4 linked regions of the Drosophila melanogaster genome follow. The protein of the gene in region 1 interacts with the protein of each later gene in a pairwise test. Each region holds a gene or a part of one and is shown in the gene's direction. Other genes may lie near its edges.

Region 1 (3,786 bases):
AGGAGACTGAGCTCATGCAGTCGAAAATCCAGGAGACACTCGGTCTAGATCCCGTGGACAAGGAAGTAATCGTTCTTTATGAAGGCGAGAAGGCCGAACAGTCCACAGATGATCTGAAAAACAAGCGCATCGTGGAGATGAAGAAGCCTCGTCCCATGTGGTTCACCAAGAATCTGCTCCAAAAATCCACGCAGCAGCTGTCCGAAACCAAGGAAGTCAAGCCCTCCGACTTGGCCTAGATACTAAGCATCCATTGTGCATTAAATCCACACGTTCGTTATCAAATCGATGCTATTTTATTCTCTGTGAAGGATAAGGACCTTGCTTGCTTCAGGAATCCGTTGTTAAAGTCCTGGGCACTCATAGGTTTTCTACCTTCCACGCGTAACTGAAGCACTTCCAACTGACTCTGCTGAGCACATCCGATTATGAGGGATCTCGACTTCCTTAGGTAGCTGATGGCACCAGGTTCTTGGACGGGAACTCTCTTCTCCGGTAATCGCAACTCCAGCAACTGCACTTGCTTGCCCAAAAAGTTGGTTGTAAGGTTTTTGTAGCCATACAAAGCTCGATGACGAGTGTATATTTCAATGGCACTCAGCTCGGACCAGATAATTTCTGTGATTTTACTGGTAATCTTGGGAGCTGAAGGCAAAAATATAGTTTATATAGGTTCTCGAAGTGCTTAGATATGCTTTACCATAGCTGACCCTTGAACTATCTTGGGGTTTGGCTTCCTTAAGTCTTACTGATAGGTTGTTAATAGTATCCACAAGTAACTCGGCTCCTAGCGACGCCAAAGATGCATGCAGATCCGGCATGAAGACATCGGGATTAATAGCCACTTCTCGCTGAGCTAAAATCTAAAGCATAAGTCGTCAATACTACTGCATACAATGGTAAGATAAGAATGAACTTACATCACCGATATCGAACCGGTGAGGTTCGATTTTCATGATGGAAACTCCAGTGCTGGCATCTCCCTTCATGATGGCGTATATGATGGGAGCAGCTCCCCGCCATTTGGGTAACAAACTAGCGTGAACATTGATCATCCCATAAGGAAATCCATTGATGATACTACCAGGAATCAGGTGGCCAAAGGAGACCACCACACCCAGATCAAATTGCGGACACACAGAAGGATCTATGGGCCACTTTTGCAGGGGAAGCTTCTCCTTTTCCGCGTAGGTCCTCACACAGTTGGCGGGACTTTTGAAGGAGGTAACAACTCCCAAACGATCACTAAGAAAAATATTCTTATTAATCCAATTTAACATTATTGTTTAAAACATTTTACCCGCAGTTTTTGTGTAGCGCCTGTAAGCTGGGCAAGGAAAAATTGTCGGTACCGAAAAAGAGAATTTTTGGAGGGTGGTAAGTTCCCTTGCAGCGCTGTGCAATTGGGATTACATTCTGCCACACTTTTCTCTTATATTTGTAAAAATTATTGACTAAACTCTTGCCGCAAAACATCGGAAAATTTGTTGGATAATAATGCAGCGTAAACAAAAACAGCTGTTCGCGATACCAGCTGGTCACTCTACCAAATAACGTAATAGGAATGCTGAGATAGAGTGAAACCTGTTGAACCTATCGTCTTCAACCATGTAAATGGTGGTCTAACTTTATAAGATCAAGAGTCGTTATTTTTGTTTAAGTAATTAAACTTAGCTCAATACATTACTTTACTTTTATTTATCTGTCTTCAGTGACTATAGACTATCGGTATAGTGTATATTATTTTTTTAAGTTCATCGCACGGTCATACTAATGAGAACGCAATAAAAATTTGGAAAATCAAACATCTACAGGAAAACGTATATTTTTGGGATCAAGTGCCAAGGAACTCCAATACTGCAGAATGGAGGCATCTGCTGCCAAAATCACGCCTATGGCCAGTTCCATGTCCGCTTCCGGATCCACAAACTCCCCCTCCAGTGAAAAAATGAACTACGCACTGCAAGTGGCGCTGCAGACGATCAAGGAGCGGTGCATCCAGCTGCAGCGCCGCGTGGCCAGCATGGAGGAGGAGAACCAGCAGCTAAGGGAGGCCTCCAGCAGGTCGGAAGGTGCTCCAAGGGCAAACGAAATCGGGGTCACTGGGGACGTCCTCTCTCTGAAAGCACAGGTCTCTGAGCTGCAGCGCCAAAAGGAGCAGCTGGAGGAGCACATTGGCATGGTATCCAACGAGAACAGACGGCTCTGGTCCCGCCTATCGCAGATCTCCAAGGATCAGCAGCTGAACGCACTGCCCAGCTCAACAGACTCGCGAGCCCAGCAAAACCAGAACCTGGTGCGCTCCAAGACCTTTACGCAGCACTCCCCCAATCCTCACCTTCGCCAAAAGATGCTCTCCGACGGCATTAAGGATCTCAGTCTGGAGGAAATAGCCCTGGATGACTTCGGTGCCAGCAGTGAGGAACTAGGTTACCCCTACAACCTGCAAAAGGTGGAGGAAACCACTAGTGAACCAGATGCCAATGTGGATGCCAAAAGATGTTTGGATGGACTGCAGGAGCTGAGGCGAGAGGCCATGAAGCAGCAGCAGGAGCTCAGATCGGTAATGACTCTGCTAGAAAATCGCATAGGTAAGCAACAAAATGGAATTCATGCTATAAAAAAAATAACTTTTAACGCCTGTTTTATGTGCAAGCAGCACTCAAGCCCTGTCCGGAATGTGCCCAGAAAACCATCAAAAAACCGGAGATGGCCGACAAAAGTCTGGAAACGGACGACAGCCTGACCAGCGAGCTGAAGAACTATGAGAGCCAACACAATGGACACAATGGCACGCCGCCCAGCCAGAGAATTAACATAATACAAGAGAAAATCAAAGCAGATGCAGCCGACGCAATGGAGAAGACCTGCCCTATGTGCGGCAAGCAGTACTCCAGCCAAGTGTCCTTCAATGCGTTCCGCGAGCACGTCGAGATGCACTTCATCGACGATGCACTGGAACTGGAGTCGGAGAACAGCATTGAGCGCCAGTTTGAGTTCGTTTCCCATGCTGTGGGTGACTTCTGACCCAGTAGGCGCATTTATTTCGCCACCGAACTCTGACCTGACCGGAGAAATCCAAGGATTAAGGAGCAGTTTGACTGCGCAGGAGCCGCTTGTTACGTTTCTATTGATAAGACGTTAGGGCGATCATGTATCAAAACTATACAACATTGAACTTTAAGAAAAAATATATATATATTGTATTATAATTGCGGAGAGTGCATGAATATATAGATGTAAGTGACCGAATACGAAATACAGTTTAAATGAAAAGCCTGAAAACATGTTGAGCGCTCTCTTCGGTTGGTTGGAAAGTGAAATCGTGGACCGTGGACAACATAAATATTATATTATTAGCGCTGACAAATATTGTAATATCAAAGATGACGATCGATGTTACCATCGCTTGTGGTCATTATCCGATCTAATTGGCAGCTTTTCTGTGAGTCACACACTTTGGGGGAAGAGTGGAACATTCGACAAAGAAGTTTGGCTTGAGGCCATTATGCTGTAACTGGTCAGAGGATTTCCCTGTTTTTTTGGCTATGACGTAGTCGAAACCCGACTGGCAACGTGTGCCTAATCGGGCTGATCCAGTCATTCAATGCGAATATTTGCCAAAATATTGACCATAAGATTTGCCATTGATAGCAATACAAATGCAAATGCTCAGAGCTAACTTTCTTTTAATGCATTTGGAGTGGGTCGCAGCAGGAATTTAGCTTAAGGAAACATTTTAATTTGCCTATGCTAATAAGTTTGATAAATAAATATTTTTAAGAC
Region 2 (7,696 bases), on another chromosome or scaffold:
TAGTAACATGACGGAATTGTTTAGGCTTAACATACATATACATATATGTATATATAGGTAAATGGAAGGTATTTATTTGTTTTGAAGAGTTTATTTTCTTACCTTGCGATGACGTCCTTTGTAGACGACGGCAAAGGCGCCATGGCCCAGCATATCCTTGGAGCTGTATTCATATTCCCCGACAATATTCATTGCATGCGAAAAAGGAGGAGGATGCGACGCCTGGAAGTGCTGCTCTCTCCCACTCTCCCTCTCTCTCTCTCACAGTCGTACACCCCCTCGCGCTCCACACTCTCTTTCGCTCGTGCACGCACGCTTGCTCTCCCCTTTTATTTTCTTCGCTCTTCTGCTTTGCTTTTGCTTCCAATTGCAATTGTGGAAAATGGAAAATCAATTTCTTTCCCCTTTGGCCAGCCACTAAATGTGATTCTCTGGCCCTCGACGATCTCCGAAATTTTCACGTAACACCACCACCGTCTTTTCCGTCCACCTGGCCAGTTGACAATTATCGGGCACACACTCTAATTTCACTTGTAATTGAATTAAACCGTTCTTTTCCGTGTGCGATTATCTCGGTTTTCAGTGTGGTATTGCTTTTAATTTGCGGCCCCACACTCGCGTACAAACACACACTTGCAGGATCGATGGCACACACTCTCTCACATACACACGCACGCACACACGGACGATCAGCGTAATTTCCTTTCGGTTTTTGAAAAATGTAGCTTTTTGGTCCCAGCGAAAAACTTTGCAAAAGGTGATTTTTCCAACTACTTCGCGAGAGAGACTAGTGGAAAAGGCAAGACGAAAACACAACTAAGCGAAGTGGTGGGTTGGCCAGTGTGGCCGCAGGTGGCGAACCGCCAATACGCCCCCGCGCGAAAAATACCACTTTCTTTAAAATACCAATGGGTCTTAATTTTTTGATTATATTCTTTTAGTTTTATTTTTGGGCCCAAATTTTCGAGGATAATAGTTGAATATTGTCAAGCTAATACCTATTTCGCTATATTATTATTATTGTTAAAACTAATGATGAAGAATTGTAAACGTGAACCATTGTTTAAAAGTACCAAAACAAGCCAATTTACTTGGCTTTACTTTACTTTTCTTCTCTTTAATGAAGAAAAAGTCACAAAATTGGGACAAAGAGTTTACTTATGCCAATGCCTGCAGAGCCTTGCTGTATCATCAGTTTCTGGATGGAAATGGAGACAAAACACAATACCAATCTATTAAATGACAATAACTATCAATTAAATGACTAATATTGGCTGTACACCAAGTAACCTATCCCCAATACTATGAAGAGTAGGCATTCCTCCTGGGTTGAATTTAACAAACTTCTTTGGTGTCTATTTTAATGAAGAGAAATCAAAGTTTTGACGATATATACAAAACAATATGTGTTAACATTGCATTACTTAGTTAAAAATCTATAAATCAATGAAAATATTGAATGAATTCCTTAATTTTATGATATGTTGGAAATACTTGTATTACTAATATGATTTATAAAATTCGTGCTTAAAAACCTATCATCCTAAAATGACGGTTTAAGCGGATAAAAAATTGTTTTGGTATTTCCTTACTTGTGTAATTTCCGAGTATTTTTCTGAACACCTAGCGTTTAGTATTTCATAGATTACTTATTGTTTTCAATCTGGTAACACTACTTAATTGAGCCTTGTGAAAAGAAGAGCGGAAAACAAGAAAAACTTCTCGTATTAATAGGTGGCGCGGTAAAAATCATCAAGTCTAATTTGCTGCGCTTAATGTGTGCGACCAATTAGCATAAAAAGGCAAGTTTATCTAAGAAAAATTTCAAAGTACAGCCTTTCTCAGACTGTTTTCGTGTGCGTGCTTGTGGAGAGATTTTGTGGATACATAGTGCGCAGTGATAAGAAGAGAAAGAGCGGGTGGTGTAGAAGAGGCGAAAATCGTGTGAAACGTGGAACAGAAGTCTAATGCCAAAATCGTCTTTCAGATATCGCAAAATCAAAGCTGGAATAATGAGTGCGCCTAGTGAGGGTGGCGCGGGAGGAGGGCCGGTGGGCGGTGGAAGTACAGCTACAGCGCCATCAGGTAAGTCCACCGATATCCAAGTGGAATATTTATATATATTTATCCCCATACGTATATACGTATTAGCATTGTCCCCGTGTATGCGTATGTATACATAACATTTGTGCCCCTCTCTTTTGCTCTTGCATACGCGCACTGTTTGTTTCCTATTCCTCTTTGTGCCTCACATTCGCAGCAACGTCTGCGTTTGTATGCCTTTGTTTTGTTGTTACTGTGCATTCGTTTCAGGGTTGCCAACTGCCCACAAAATGTTCTTATTTAGCTTGATCTCAAAGATAATATATTTCCAGTTATTTATCTAATAAATTTACTTGTTTGGCTCTTAAAAAATAGAAACATACATCTTTTTAAAATTGTATATTTATATTATATTTAATTTTCATCAAAAGGAAACAAATATTATTATTAAATTTAAAAGCCAAACAAATAAACCAATGTTATATGTATGTAGCTCCCCAATTTCACTTGTCCGTCCATTGGTGTTCCATGTGGAGCTTTTAACCGAAATCTCACAGTAGCCACCCGCACAGCCCCCCTGAAAACCATTAAGATACGCACCCAACAACTGCACACCCATGCAGTGCCATCGTTGTCATTGCTGCCATCTATATATCCATCATCATCATCATCATCTCTGGCAGCCACTGGATCTTTATCCGCATCCGCATCCTTGGTATCGCACTCACATCCGCCCCTGCAGCTGCGCGGCGTCATAAACAAATACTCATTGCCATCCCATTTGCCATCCTCTGCAGCGCACCCGGCGGTGGCCGCCAAGATCACCCACGTGAAATCCGACGGCGGCGGTGGGATATCCATTGCGGGCACACCGATCCTCAGCGGAGGCACAATTAAGGTGGCGTCAGCCAATCAAGTTCAACAAACTTCCCTAGGTGGCACTCCAATTGCTCTGAATGCAGGACAAGCGACTACGGCAGCTTCGATCCGTGCTATTGGCGCTGGTGGTCAGTCCACACAGGTGCGGGTGGTGATGCCAATGATCAAGCAGCTAGAGAATGTTACGGCCACCGGAAGGACTCAGATAACAGCCATACCAGCTGCACCGGCGAGGAGTGGGGCGAATGCATCGATCACGGTTACCAGGCCCGTAACCCAGGCCACATACTTGCCGCGAGCCAGTGTGACGGCCACCCAAATGGGAGGCGTTGGCGTTGGAGTTGGCCAGCGGCTCGTCACGCCATTGAGAGCCACATCATCGGCCACGGTTACGCCCACAGCGCCAACAGTGCTGAGCTCAACCGGAGGATTCGTACGCGGAGCAACAGCATCGGTGAGCAGAAGTGGAGTGGCGCTCACATCGCAACCATCGTCGGCTGTCATCTCGTCCAGCAACAGTGGTGCTTGGATGCAGAGTCAGGGACAGGTGCAACTGATCCGAACCATTCATCAGCCGCGCCAGCGAATTATAACGACATCCGCGGGGGTTTCGAATGCCAGTGTAGTGACCACTACTCCAGTGCAGGCGCCAACAGGTATGTTGTATCTTTTCTTACTCTGCAACATCATCCTAATTGTGTTTCCACATAGCTCTTTCCGTTTCCGCTGGCCAGCCCTTGGCGACACAACAGGCGACGGGACCGGGAGGAGGTCCTCAGGCCTATGTGGCTACTGTATTGCCACAGAGGCAGCATCAGGCTACACTAGTTTACTCCTCCAATGTGTCTGCACCGAATGCAAGTCAGAATCCGGGTCAGCAATTTAATCCACGCTTTGCTGTGGCCACGCCCACAGGCGGAGTAACAACAACGACGCCCGGTGGAACGACAGTAACACCTCGACAGGTGCGACCAATTCCGCTGGGCAAGAGTTTTCCAACCGCTAAGCTGAACACAACCAGCATAAGTATCAGGGCACCAAGCATACCGCAGCTGAATACCAGCGTTACGGCATCTCCAACGGCCGTTAGTGTTTCCGGTGGAGCAACAGTGGCACCCGGGCGGGGTCCCGGAGCCGGAGGAACTGCTCTGACGGCCACTAATTTGCCCACCACACGGATCATTCAGCTGCAGCAGCCAGCGACGGGAACCACTCAACAGATCATCGGATCCGGAGCTCGTCTGGCCGGGAACGTGATGCTGCAGCCATTCTTGATGAGCACTACCGCGGCGGCTAAGATGGGTAAGTTAGTACTTATAACTGGAATACTCTAAAATGCTTACTAAAGAGCAAGTCATCTAGTTTAGCAATCTGTTAAGCAATAGTCAATTCAGTATTTAATTTTTATAAAACTGAAACTTCTGCTGTTAAGTATGAAACTATCGATAAACCACGTTAACTGTCATCTAGGAAGCAGAGAATCTACTATCAATTCGTGTTGAAATAGGGGGACCCAATTTTTATTTCAATTGTTATCAACAGCTTACGAACTAATATCATTCAGTTTAGTCAACATCCAACAATCATCAGCAGCATGCTGGCTTTCGAGAAGGAGATCGTGGAGAAATCTAGATATTTTGATCTAATCACAAAAGAGTGTCAGGATTACCCTATGGCCAAGACAATGCCAGTTCTAAAGCAGCCCGAGAATTTCCAGGAACAAGAGGAGGACGTTGTAATGGCCGTGCAAGAAAAACTCAAATTTTTCCGCAAACTAACCAGCAATGGTCCCGCAGTCCCGACACCGCTTAAAGTCGTTGAAAAGGAGGACATAGGACATAAGGAGATACCAAAGGTGGTCAAGAAAGTTGACCGTAAAACGAAACTGCTGCAAGCCATACCAGCGGTCTTCAAACATAGCCACAATCGACGCTTTCGAAGATCCTTATTTTTAAGGTCCAACTATATCGAGCAATTTCGGCGTTGGACGGATCAAAAAAACAAGTTAAATAGAAAGCGCTTGAATGAAGCACATCAGTTGTGTTTAAAAGCCAAACACGAGCGAATTGCCTGCGAAATCGATAGATACAAGAAGCTGATCCTTAAGCAGTCCGTCCATGTGATCGAGGACATAAGAATCAGCAGCGAATTGATTCCGCTGACCAAAGAACACCATGATCGGCTGATGGAACTATCTAAGTATCCACTGCAGCAGGTAATTGTGGCCAAGTTCAATTTGGACATCTGCGGCAGTGATATCAAAATCCTGACCAGTGGCGGCTGGCTCAACGACAAAATAATCAACTTTTACATGAACCTACTGGTCGAGCGATCGGAGAAGCGTCCTGGTACAGTGCCCAGCGTGTATGCCATGAGCACTTTCTTTGTGCCCCGCCTGCTGCAAAGTGGCTTCGATGGCGTAAAACGCTGGACTAGAAAGGTGGATCTGTTTAGCATGGACCTCATACTTGTGCCTGTTCACCAAATGCTCGTTCACTGGTGCCTGGTCATAATCGATTTGCCTGCGAAAACAATGCTCTACTACAATTCAAGAGGCCGCGGTGACCCGAATCTGATGCGAGCACTAGTGAAGTACCTTCAAATGGAGTCGGAGGACAAGCTCGGGCTGTGTTTGGACACCAGTGAATTTCGCATCGAGGATGCCCAAAATGTGCCGCAACAAGACAACATGAACGATTGCGGCGTGTTCGTCTGCATGTTTGCAGAATACCTAACCCGGGATGCTCCAATAACGTTTTCCAAGAAAGACATGAAATATTTTCGCACTAAGATGGTTCTGGAGTTGACCGGCGACCAGCTGTGGAAGTAGGTGTTCTCCTATATAGAGTTTACTTTTTTATGGATTGAACTGAGCTGAGAACTATACAATAAGAACAAAAATAAAATAGTGTTTGAAAATTTAAGAATTATTTCGTGACTTGTTCTTTTGTAAGTGGAATATGATAGGAATAAACCCTACCACAATTAAATGAAATAATAATAATATATCTTTGAAACCATCAATCGACAGGCATTCGTCCACCTGTCACCATGACCGCTAAGGTTCAGCCATCGCTAACTATTACACAGCTTAATCCCATCGGAAAACTGTCAGCTGGCGGAGGAAGTGGAGGACAAACAATGGGGCCGCAGGGCGTGGCCAGCATCCAGGCGGTGCCAGTGCCGAATGTCTCTGCCAGTGTGGTCAATTCAAGCTCGGTGACGGGTGCCACATCGGCGGCCGGTGGAGCCACTGTCCTGCCACTTACCATCAGTGGCAGGGGAGCGGGAGTGGGACCAGGCGGTAATATCCTCACGGGAACTCTGACGCCCATCAAGAACGCAAGCGGCATCACTTTGGGCAAGATGATGATGGCACCAGCTTCTTCTGCCCCTGGAGCAGATGGTTCCAGCACAAGCGGGGCAACAGTGACGGGCTTTCAACGCACCTGGAATCCTGTAGTTGCTTCACAGAGCCAGTTGATGAAGGTAGGTTTCAACTATCTACATATATGATGCTTCAATTAACTATTAAAACTAAATCGTTATACAGATCGATGAGAAGGGAAGTGCTGCCACAATCTACTACGAATCTATGCCAGCCTCCGCCTCCACAGGCGTTCTATCATTGACTACGACAACAGTGACGCAGAGCACCCAGGCGCAGGCACAATTGGTTAGCAGCGCCGGTGGCAGCTTGTCGGTATCTTCGTTACCCTTTGCAAGTCACGCGACTGCCGGAGCGGGATCAGGTGGCGGCGGATCGCAGGCTACTTTTACGGTGTTGCCGTCGGGGGCTGGTGGAACAGCCACCCGAACCATTGGCCACCAGCAATTGATAATACCAGCAGGACCAAATAGTGCGCCGCCGCAGCACATGGTTATTCCGCTGCATACGTCCGTTAAGGTGACCACGGGAGCGGGCAATCCGCAACAAGCAACTGCAAGTGGAGCACTGGTGTCCAGCTTTATGCGCAAGCGGGATGCGGAAGGTTCGCCAATACGGGCGGCTAAAAATCTAGGACCCACTTTGCTTTCAATGGCTAGCAATAACAGTGGACAAAACATGCCACCGGCTCCGGGCACCACGTTCAACATTCAGCCGGTGTCCGTGACAGTGCCTCAATCAGTTGGCTCTGGGCTGACCGTAGAGGCGCTGGCCAAGAAGGAACGGGAGCGAGTCACCCATGGTGTAGCAAGTAGCGCCGCTAGTGTGCCTGCCACAGTTGGCCCCGTGAACTCAACGAGAAATTCGAGGGCGGACTCGCCGGCTTCGTCGGACGGCTCAACTACAGTGTCGGCGAATTCCTCACCTGGTGTGGATCAGCAATTACAGGACAGGATTGGCGATCAGCCAGCCACGGGAGGCGCTGGTGGGCGCGATAATTCCACGCATTTTAATCCCATTAATGAGGTGTGTACACAACAATCAATATATGCTTAAGTATGGCTTTAATATTTGTTCTTCAAAAGATGTACTCATCACACCAATCGATTCAGCAGAACCTTGGTCACTCCTCACTGGGAGCCCGCAGTGGTAGCAGTGCCTTTGTGGATGTGCAAGCACCAACGCCGCAGCAACAGCAGCCTCAGCAGGTGCCTCATTTGGTGGGATCGACGCAGATGCAACAAGGAACGCGTATGAATGGTACTGGTAATAGCTCCAGCTCCAGTTATGACTGCTCCTCTAGGAAAAAGCCGCGACGATCGACGTGAGTTATTTGAGTGGTTGTATCAAATGATGCATGTTGATAATCTGATAATGTATTTGCCA
Region 3 (5,580 bases), on another chromosome or scaffold:
ATAAAACAAAGTCAGAAACTATATAACCTTAGAAGAATATACAAAGGGACATGATTGTACAAAAATATGTGGGTACTCAAAACTGGGTTAAAGGTGTTTTGAGTACACTTATCAGATTCCCCTCTATTTTTGTAATCAGCAGTTTAGCTCAACAATTACAAATCCGTTATCTTAGCCCGGAATTTCCTTATGGTAGCATATGAGGGCAGAACTCTAAGCTGATAAGCAGGGCGGTGGGTGCTGCTTATCAGCTTCATAAAACACACAGAAACAGAAGCTCGAAATTTGTAATAAAGGTAGGACAGTTACAGTTAATTATGTAGTTTAATTGGTTGTAACGATCGAAATTAAATAGAACTAATATTTCGCTATGCTTTTATATTGAAAGCAATTGATTTCAAAATTCTAAACTGCTGATGGTTGGAATACTGATCAAATATAGCTAAGCACTTATCCACCGGCCAGCAAAACTGGTTTGTGCTGGAGAACTCACCTCGGAAACCTCTGGGATGGGTGTGCGTGCCTTGATGGCGGCCTTGATGGGCAGCGAGGAACCAGATCCCGATCCGGTCAGCGGACCCACCGACGACCTCGGCCGGCTGGAGCGACGGGTGCGCGGGCCAAGATCGGGCGAGGGCGGTGCGACGACCTTGTTGCGTGACGGGGAGGCACGTGTCCGGGTGGCGGGACCAGCGGTGGCGGTGGCGGTGGCGGTGGCACCCGCAGCTGTCACGGAGCCCGTACGTCGGGTCACCGGCAGGAGGCTGGGCTGCTTGGACTGGGCCAGAAGTGGACCGCTGGACACGTCTTCCGTGCGACGCGGGCGTCTCAGGCGTCGATCCATGGTGTATGAATTGCGGTCGAAAAAACGTGCTGCAAAATGGATATGATCAGTCGTTGTGCTCGGCGAGTGCTGCATGTTATTTATAGTTTACAAAATACACACAATCTATTAATGTACTTAAGTAACGCTGTGGTTTTCTCTAGTTTCTTTGCTTTCTTTATTTCTCTAATTTTCTGTATTTATTTGTGTTTGCGCGCCGAAAGGAAAAGCGACGTCGCTGCCGCAACTGTACATTCCGCAGGCAGCGACGCTGGCAGAACGCGCTCTCTCTCTTGCTCTCTTCCTCTTGGCTGGCAGTTTTTAAACGATGTTTAACTTAGCTTAAACAGCTTTTAACGCTTCACAACTTAGTAACTCACTTCTGATGGGATTTATTTGTAGTTTTTCACTTTATGGGGCTATTGAAACGCCGTAAATTCAGCATAAATCACTTGATAAAAAAGACGCGCGTCTAGTTGTCGGCGGATGAGAAAATTTTGTTGTAAAATGAGCGCGGCCCACTGCGTTGGTATTTTTCAGTGTTGGCTAACGCCGAACGGCGCCTAACAGCACGCAGCGTGTCGTTAACAGTGGTTTAGTGGGCACTTTAAGACAATTTAAAATGTATTCAAGGTTAATTATTTTAAAGTATTAAAAGTACTTGTACTTATTTTTACATTCCCTTAAACATTAATCGAACCATACCAATGCGCAAGTATTATAAATCGATAGAAAACTTTTTGGAGTATTTGATCTTTGCAAAGACTAACAGTACTCATTTTATTTACATATGTAGGTTATAAAGACCAAAGTTGTCGCTTAAATCGAGTTGTAAATTATTTGTTCAAGACAGAAGAATACCGCAAACTTTTCAAGAAACAAAAACATATTAATAAAATGAATCAAAACAACTGAAATAACTTCTTAAATACCTAGTTTTCTACTGATATTGAGGTAGATAATTAATTTGGCTAAAAAGGAGCTAGAGTGCCGGATCTGTAGAGTGGAAGTAGAGTGACTGTCATTCCTGGTATTATTTAGCACATTCTATATCAATCTCCTCACACACATAACAAAAGGCAGGAGAAAAATTGTAAATTATTACGGATTTCTCGGACATTTTTCTGTCATTTCCCGAGCAATGTAAGTAGAAAGCATTCGAAAAACCCAATACGCAACAAACACACGCACACAAGCCGGACGAAAATGTTGCGCTTGCCAAATTCTGGTTATTAATTTGTTATGAAAACGTCTCTCTCACGGCCGCCTTCTACCTAAAAAAAAAAAATTGGACAAACAACGAAAAACCAAAAGCAAGTGAGGCCCATTGGATCAGTTGAAAGGATTCCCCAGGACATCGCCATGGTGACCCCGCAATCGCCGACGCCCATGTTCAATGGATTGGACGATGATCTCTACAGCGACGCCAAATATGCCCACGAGATTAACGACAAGATGCGGGTTCCCAAAAGAATAAAGGCCACCGGGGAGTATTCCAACGAGGATCTGCTGCTGTCCAACCAGAACGGGATGATCAGCTCCTGGAACTATCACGACAAGATCGACATGAATGTACCGGATCGAATTGTGGTCCTGGGCCACAATCAGCATCTGGAGACGCGATCTGCTCCGCGGGAAATCCAGCTGGAGAACTCCATTCTGCCCAAGAACCCATCGGTCGGATTGGTGCGCGTCCAGACGCCACCGCGCATTATCACCCTCACCGATCAACACTTTCCCTCGGCCTCCGAGGAGAGCTCGCCCATCCGGGCCAATGGTCATCATTTGTATGGTAATGATCTCGACGAGGACGCCGACGATGAGGAGGTCCATGCCACCCAATATGTGCGTGCCAATGGAGTCGCCCGTATGGGATTTCAAGGCAATGACACCAATTCCGTTGAATCGGACTCGCAGGTGAGTAAAATATGCCATACAAGCAACAATTTTCCTTTAGTTTTTCAATTCAATTGCAAGTGCTTGTAAATTAAATCGATGGGCAGAATGAGCAACTCTGTGATTTCTGTTAAAGAGCACTTCATTTGATGGAAGTCTAGACCCTAGCGATCCACACATGACGCAATAAAACAACCAAAATTGTTAATAGATAATAGATAGATAGCGATCACACTGCGCTTGCCACCCATTCAGTTTGCAAAGAGATTACCATGCCTGCTGGTTTTTATTGAATTCCTAATACGGCTTTGATAAGACGGCTGACCCAATTTCCATCGACTGTGTGGAAACACACTCTCACTTTTTGTTAATCGCTGGAGTAGCCGTGTGCCTCCGGTCGATCCTCGCCCTCCTGTGTATCCTTAAGGCGCCTCGCAAAAGGACGACACTTCCAGATGTCCACCTCGGTGGCCAGGCACTTGCGAAAATCGAAATCGCACAGACCCAAACTGTACGAACCCTCCATGGGCTCGAAGTAGTGAAGGCCACGGCCAATCTTAATGACCACTCCCGAGCTAAGAACGATCTTGCGATCGTGCAAACTGTCGTCCATCTGGAAATTCATCTGGATGTTGCCACCGGCCAGATCGCTCTGCATTTGCTGCAGCATCTGCAACTGATTCTTGGGCGCCGTCGCATCTGGGCGCGTAGTGAGGCGAATATACTTTAGATAGCGACAGTTCTTGACCAGCACCTCGAAAAAGTTAAGCAAATTCCTAAAGTGTGGTGGCTCCGTGAGGTGTGGCTCGTTGAGATGGGCCTCCCGAACCGCATCGTCCAAATACGGACCAAACAGCCGCTGGTAGCTTCTGCCCCTGGCACCCTGCTCGATGGTGATGTGATCCAGCATACGGCTGGTGTGCAAGTGACCCTTGACCTGATCCCTCAGCTGTTTGGCCCGCGCCTCGTACATCTTCAAATACTTCCCACACAGCTGGCGGCGACTCGGCTCCGCATCGGCCATCTGGGACAATTTGAAGATGCTCTCCTCGTAGAGTAGTATCGCCTCCATAATGTGACCCGTCTGCTCGCATTTCAGCGCGCTGATTATCGCCTCCAGTTTCGGCAGCTCGCCATCATCCACTTCTGCTACGTTGGGACTGGTTGTCATTGCTGGGATCGAAAGAAATTGGTTGGCTATACAGAAAATTTCGAGTTGGGCGTTTTTTTTTTTTTCGAATGTTTATTGCTTATATTGACACCGGAAATATTTGGGGGAGCTCTGAAAAATGACTCTTGCTTCACATTGATAACAGAAAACTTTCACAAAGCAAACACTTAACATGGTACACACATCTAAATCCTATTTGGCGCAACTTATCTTTGACTACCTTATGTGTTCCAGTTGACCACAGGCAGTGCCAGCAAGCGCTCGCAGCTGAATCAACAGCAGCACAACAACCTGGATGCCTCAATGCTGGCGCACCGAGAGGGCACGCCCATGGGCGAGCTGACGCCCCACGAGGAGATCCTGTATCTGAGACGCCAGCTGGCCAAGCTGAATCGCCGGGTGCTGAACATCGAGATCAACAATGAACAGCGCACGCAGCGGGAGAAGATCGTCTACTGTCTGGGCCTGGCCTACTTCGTTCTCAAGACAATATTCTGGCTGAATCGCAACTAGACGCAATGTAGAGCCCACTATGATGGTTAGCGATCTGCGCTGGGTGCCAAGACAACCACCTTGCTATGGACACCCTTTTTGGAACAGCTTCTTTCGTTTCTTGACTTTTGTGTTTCTTTTGTGGAAAGGCTCTGAGAGAGACTTTGTTTTTTGTTTGCCATAATTTTGTAGACTAAGCTCCGTAATAAATAAGCGCAACATCGTTCTGTTTTGTACACCGTGGAAAACGAAAAAAACAAAGGCCCCCATACTTAATTTGTAAGATCTGGCACTTAAGGAGCGTGTATCTAAATCTAAGCTTTAATCTCTACGTGTTTCATCTGAGCAGCCCCCAACACGAATCCGAATCATCACAGCAGCATTGCATTGAAAAGATATTGTTTAAAAGGGTTGTTTATATTTTAGATCTGTTAACATTTGATAATCCCAAAGTGAAAACAAGAACTTTAATGGTATTTGTATGCGAAATCCCATACGATAAATAGTTAAATATATACATAAATATAATATTATACACTAAATCCCACAGAAATCATTGCATTGATTTTTGCATAACTAGCGGAAACGAAGGAAATCCATTTAGAGTGTAGCATGAATTCATAACGATATTTAAAATAAAACGTTTAAAGTACCAAAACAAACCATATGCTTCGTTAATTTTCTACCAGGAAATAAGTAGATTTCGGTTTTCAACGCATTTAAAAAATGTATTTATTTTAATTTGTTGGTTTTCTCTTTAAATAGTACGTATAGTAATCAATTAAAACTACCGATTAAATGCAATTACATCTGCTTGTCTCATCTAACTTCCGACTTCCTCTTCTGCTATACATCTTTAGCTAACAAGACGTTAAACATTAAGTTTAATGCAAAATGACGAAAAGACCTGAGCGAAATTTCGTTCGATTCATTTGCGGTGTGTGTATTGTTTTTCGTGTATTTTGTCTGTGAAGTGGATTGTTTCTTTCCCTTTTGCCACCCGATCTTCGATCAATCGCTATCATCCAACTACTTAGAGAACAAGATGCAATTGTTTGTATCTTTTTATTTATAATGGAATTATCGTTTACTTTACACAAATAATATGCAAGGGGACTACTTTTCTCTTTCATTTTCCGAACGACTCGCCTTTCCAGGCGAAACGCCGCAGGATCGAAAAAAAAAACACCTCAACGCA
Region 4 (4,753 bases), about 27 Mb from region 1:
CTCACGCTTGAATTGACTGTCATCCGGGCCCTTGTTGCTAATTGAGCTGGTGCTGCTCTCATCGAATTCCTGGGAACCTTCATAATTTTGTCCCACCTCTAAGTTCTCCGGATCCATATGAAATATATTGTTAAAGTGGATTTAAATGAGAAAGTGGCGTTCCTTTCAAAGCAGTGTATTTGTTGATTGTTACAAAGCCCGAGCATTAATTACTGCTGTTTAGTCAAATTAAACCAAAAAATTCGATTTTATAAAATTAATGTGAATATGGCGGTCTCAGCAATATTTAATATTTTTATTAAATTATATGTAAACTATTTTATTTCCAAAAGGATACATTGACTTCAGTAAGGTGTTTGCATCGCAGTGAATGAGGCATTTGCGACCATATAAAGCTCACTTTATACTTTCTTGATCAGTATGAACAACCGAGTCGAAATAGCCATATGAACAATCGAATGTAAAATTTGGTCGTTTAATTTGGTATACATTTTTTACTACATTTTTTTAATTTTGAACAATCTTTAATTTCAATTTCAAGCTTCCGTTGTTGTTTATTCATTTTTTATTATTTAGCGCACTTTTATGAGAATTATTTTTTTTGCCGTAAAAGGTTTTACTAAATTCGATAAAGGTAAAAAGAAGCATTTCCGACTCTATAAAATATAATATTCTTGAACAGGCCAACAAGCCGCCCCAAACTACGACGCTAACACGCAAGACTTCACGAGACTTTCACTGTCACAATTACAAAGTAATTTGATTGTAATGCGAATTTCTATAGATATACCATTTTGCAACATCTCGCTCGCAGTAATGCGAATTTCTATAGATATACCATTTTGCAACATCTCGCTCGCAAAGTCGAGGAACCCTCTGACTTTTGTCTGTTTTTCGTCCCTTATAACACCAACAAACCGCCCAAAACTCCCACGCTTTTGAAAAATTTTTTAAATAGTTTATTTTGTTTTTTAAATTTCCTTCGATCTGCTAAAAGAATGTTGGAATTTCTCATTCGCACTTAGTATACGACTTGAGTAACAGGACTTTTAAAGTAGGGGAACTCGATCTTGTTTTGATTACAAGAAATATTAAAAAACATTTAACATTCTACATTCTCTAAATATCGTTTTTATGATGACAATGCTAAATAATGGGTTCCGATAATATCGATAAGTACCGAATTCTCGAAATTCGGTCACTCTTTCCGGAACGGAATCCACAAAGATCATTTTGCCTCGTCTCAGTTCAGCCTTTTTAGATTTTCCATAGCCAGATCTAGATTATCTAGAAACGGAACAGCCAGAACTAGATTATGTCTAGCTCAAATTATTTGGTAAAGAAATCAAATAAATCAAATAGTTAATTTAGTGTAGAATTAAACATGCCAAAAATTACAATCCTGCCACAGAAACCTTTATTTAAAGTTAACTACAAGTTCAAAGAATATTAACGGCCTGTGAAAAGTATTCCCCTCGCAGTCAATTTATGCTTTTGCATTTCATTTGGCTGAGGGTATACGGGTATAGTCGCGACGATCCATATTATTTTTCTGTTTCCTTGGTACCTTCTATGCAGGTTATCAAATCACAAAGATTTTACGCACAATATTATTTAATCTGTAATCCCTATCACAGTCCTTGCGGGCTTCAAATAACCTAAGTCGAGCTTTAAAAATGCTAAAACGGCAACACTCGTGCCAACATTCTGCTTAGTTGCTGCCAACCCAATCTAACATGTTCGAAGTTGCGAGACCGTTTTGTACAAAAATATATTTAAGCGACTGGCAAAACGCGCTCTCTTTGTTGCTGAACGATTTCACTCGCGTCGTCGTTTCCCAAGAAATCCGAAAGATATGGCTAGTTGACTAAGAAGTAATTCGATATTAATATATTTTTTTGGAAGCGCATATAGTTTTATTGGGCTAGATCGCATTTTCTGCATGGTGAAGTCCGTTACGATATGTTGTCGGATATATTTTATGTGCGGTGAGATCCAACGCGGTGTTTGTGTGTGTCTTTTGTTGGCGTTGCTGTTGTTTGTAGCCATCGCCATAGCCATCGGCATCGCAGCCCGCGGTATCGAAGTTTCAGTATCAAAAGCATCGGCAGCCAGCCCAAGCTGAAACTAGTCGATTGTTCAATTCCCAAAAGCGCGGGCCCTTTACACTTGCGTTCGTTCTCCTTCGCGAGTGTGTATTTGTGGCCGTGCACAAGTGCATTTGTGTGTGTGCACTCGGGATTCCTCTTCCATTCCAATCGCCGCTCGACCCCCCCCCCCCCCTTCCACACCATACCTCGCAGGTGAGTATCGCCACAGCCGCGAAAGCATTTTCCAGCTGCTCCCCACCCTCGCCTTGCGATTCGGTGATATTAGTCATCACCGCCATTGCCTGTTTGTTCATGGTTTAATTAAAAAAGTGGCGGTAGTCCACTGTTTCTTGCTCTGCTTCCCGCCACGCCCATTCGCAGCGGCAGCGTCAGTAGGCGATGCCGAAGAGAGTCGCCGTGAAGCAACAGCCAACTAAAAGAGCAAAAGAGCTCACACGTGTCGGTGGCTAAGAGAGAGCGCACAGGGGCGTGGGTGCCCTTCGTGAGAGGGATGAATTATTATTCCAAAGGATTGCCCAGACTTGTTTTCATAGATTCTCTGGTAACCTATTCGTACTTTAATGAATTAAATATTGTTTATTGGATTAATCTGGTTCTATGAAGTGTAAAAAACAATTGACCCTTTCGGTCTACAACTGTAATTCATGAATCACTTATTCAATACAATTTTATATTAAGTAAATTTTGTTGATAACAATGGAAATTATATTGTTGACCATTGTTTCCCAATCGAGATAAAAAAATTCATTATTTGAGGAATGCGGGTATTAGCAGTAGGTACTTCTATGCTACTTCGAATACATAGAATATTTCTTCTTTTTAGTGGTACAACTTCTTCCGTATGAGAAGTATTTTAGCAGCAGCTTAGGTATAGCAGCTAATTCCTTATCCTGAGAACTGACTTTAAATAGTATTAAATAGCCGAACGCATTTCGCTGTCTTCATTGTCTACTGTGTACCTTTGTTGGGTAAGGAGTGCAGTGGTGTGCCGCCTATGTCAGTCAATCAAAAAGTTTCACCTGTCCGCCGAATGCGGAAACGTCGAGAAATGTAGTTGCATTCGCATTTTTTCAGGTTTTTAGGGTCAGCCAACGAGTGCGCTAAATACTTCGATCAGAAATTTATGTATGTGTGTATGTGTGTATGTATGTATGTATGTATGCATATGTATGTATCACCTGGAGAATGTGGTGCGGCATCAATTACCGCTGGCCGGTGGTCAGAAAAGCGAACCTGGAGCTACGTAGAGTCAAGGGCTTTCGCAAATAGATTGCAACAATGCAGTGCTAAAGTGCTAATTGATCGCTTTGCACCTTGGCCCTCGCGTATAGTTATTTGGCTGGCGCGACTGGCTTAGACTCAGTAAACACATTATCTGCTTAGATTGCTCAGAAAACACATCAAATCCAAATATTCATTCGCGTTTACACGGCAAATCTCAAGATTGTGTCTCATTGCCGGGCTTCGATTTTCTCAGAAGAGAGGAGCTATACAATCGGCTGGCTGTATCAGTCACACCCACAAGCAATCTGAAATTATTCGGGCCAACATAAAAATTCGGCCAAAGTCCATGAGATCTTGGTTATAGAGATCGCATGTATTAGTCCTCTGGTTTATATGTACATAGGTGCTCGCTAATATGTGTTTTGGCAGCGCATGCTTAATAAGCACTTTTGGGCTCTGCTATTATGAGGAAAGTTTTTTAACCGGTTTGTCCTATGGAGAAAGAAAAGAACAATGACATCGTACGGGTTCTCTGGCCCCTGAGACTCTCGTCTGAGACTGAGATGCTTGGCCACGATCTTCGTACCATTCGGGGTTAACACATCGTGGGCATAATCATTCGATGGACAGTGACAGCATCGTCAGAGTCAAGAGAACTAGCCTCACCACCTGTTGCGGTGCTATAAAGACAAATGTGCCGTTATCGGCGGTGAGATGGACAGATCCAATTCATGATGGTAATGCGAATCCAGCTATCGTTCGGTTAGGAGGCAAGTCTATGATAAAAGTTTATTAAATGCTTTTGGCATACTTAGGCTCCAGAGCCCTTAAGTAACAAAAGATTTGATATAGCGGTCGATATAACCTATATCTTGAAATATATAATGATCATAATACGCCAATATAAGGATTATAATTCCAAAGGGAAAAGTTGACTAGCGACTGTGATGTCTGGCAATGCAGCCAGTATTTAATTTTAAAAGTATTATTTTTACAGTTATTAGTTTATACAGCCTTTGCCTAATAATGATATCTTATGAATTATATTTAAATACCAAATGAGAACTGTATGGTCGAGTTCCTTGCCTGTTAGTCAGCTAGTAGATGTTTAAGCGAGAATCTTTAATATTATTTTGGCATATCGATAGAAGTGTTACATACATACTTCCCAACGAATCTACTAGGCTATACTTTACGAGTAATGGTGCTCTAAGAATTTACCTCAAAATGGTAAATCGCCTTTATCCTGCATGGTTAAACAAAATATTGTAGAAGAGATGCAATGCATACGAATTTTCGAAATAAAAGAGCACTTTGATATCTTTTGGTAAATGTAACTATATATGTTATTTAAAAAGAAGTAAAAAGCTATAAGTACCATGTACTCACCTTTCCAGCAAATAACATCATTAATATTA

What was found.
Region 2: the proteins of spn-F (region 1) and Sap130 interact in a two-hybrid assay, tested with the Drosophila melanogaster proteins (one large-scale study listed by BioGRID).
Region 3: the proteins of spn-F (region 1) and Tango11 interact in a two-hybrid assay, tested with the Drosophila melanogaster proteins (one large-scale study listed by BioGRID).
Region 4: the proteins of spn-F (region 1) and CG31523 interact in a two-hybrid assay, tested with the Drosophila melanogaster proteins (one large-scale study listed by BioGRID).

Annotation. Positions count from the first base shown.
Region 1 is NT_033777.3:31,253,379-31,257,164, forward strand, and holds spn-F (spn-F), read left to right. Parts: upstream 1-1,748; 5' UTR 1,749-1,864; coding exon 1,865-2,591; intron 2,592-2,659; coding exon 2,660-3,027; coding exon of another isoform or gene 3,028-3,063; 3' UTR 3,064-3,281; downstream 3,282-3,786. Other genes in the region: mRpL32 (mitochondrial ribosomal protein L32), read left to right, coding at 1-239; CG1750 (uncharacterized protein), read right to left, coding at 281-645, 701-863, 921-1,245, 1,301-1,476. UniProt on the Drosophila melanogaster protein: Plays a role in oocyte axis determination and microtubule organization during oogenesis. Also required for polarized organization of the bristle. Required, with jvl, for activation of the kinase IKKepsilon in the germ line.
Region 2 is NT_037436.4:12,804,253-12,811,948, forward strand, and holds the start of Sap130 (Sin3A-associated protein 130), read left to right. Parts: upstream 1-1,649; 5' UTR 1,650-1,802; intron 1,803-1,933; exon of another isoform or gene 1,934-1,987; 5' UTR 1,988-2,012; coding exon 2,013-2,085; intron 2,086-2,434; exon of another isoform or gene 2,435-2,615; coding exon 2,616-3,578; exon of another isoform or gene 3,579-3,633; coding exon 3,634-4,224; intron 4,225-4,265; exon of another isoform or gene 4,266-4,293; intron 4,294-4,468; exon of another isoform or gene 4,469-4,516; coding exon of another isoform or gene 4,517-5,752; exon of another isoform or gene 5,753-5,844; intron 5,845-5,953; coding exon 5,954-6,411; intron 6,412-6,475; coding exon 6,476-7,336; intron 7,337-7,395; coding exon 7,396-7,634; intron 7,635-7,696. Other genes in the region: Atg1 (Autophagy-related 1), read right to left, coding at 103-192; CG32110 (uncharacterized protein), read left to right, coding at 4,517-5,752.
Region 3 is NT_033778.4:21,716,241-21,721,820, reverse strand, and holds Tango11 (transport and golgi organization 11), read left to right. Parts: upstream 1-1,857; 5' UTR 1,858-1,966; intron 1,967-1,975; exon of another isoform or gene 1,976-2,137; 5' UTR 2,138-2,185; coding exon 2,186-2,740; intron 2,741-2,988; exon of another isoform or gene 2,989-3,086; coding exon of another isoform or gene 3,087-3,890; exon of another isoform or gene 3,891-4,062; coding exon of another isoform or gene 4,063-4,065; intron 4,066-4,124; coding exon 4,125-4,403; 3' UTR 4,404-5,041; downstream 5,042-5,580. Other genes in the region: LBR (lamin B receptor), read right to left, coding at 494-919; CG30398 (uncharacterized protein), read right to left, coding at 3,087-3,890. UniProt on the Drosophila melanogaster protein: May play a role in mitochondrial and peroxisomal fission.
Region 4 is NT_033777.3:4,476,183-4,480,935, reverse strand, and holds the start of CG31523 (uncharacterized protein), read left to right. Parts: upstream 1-1,728; 5' UTR 1,729-1,874; exon of another isoform or gene 1,875-2,303; intron 2,304-4,753. Other genes in the region: sac (sterile affecting ciliogenesis), read right to left, coding at 1-117.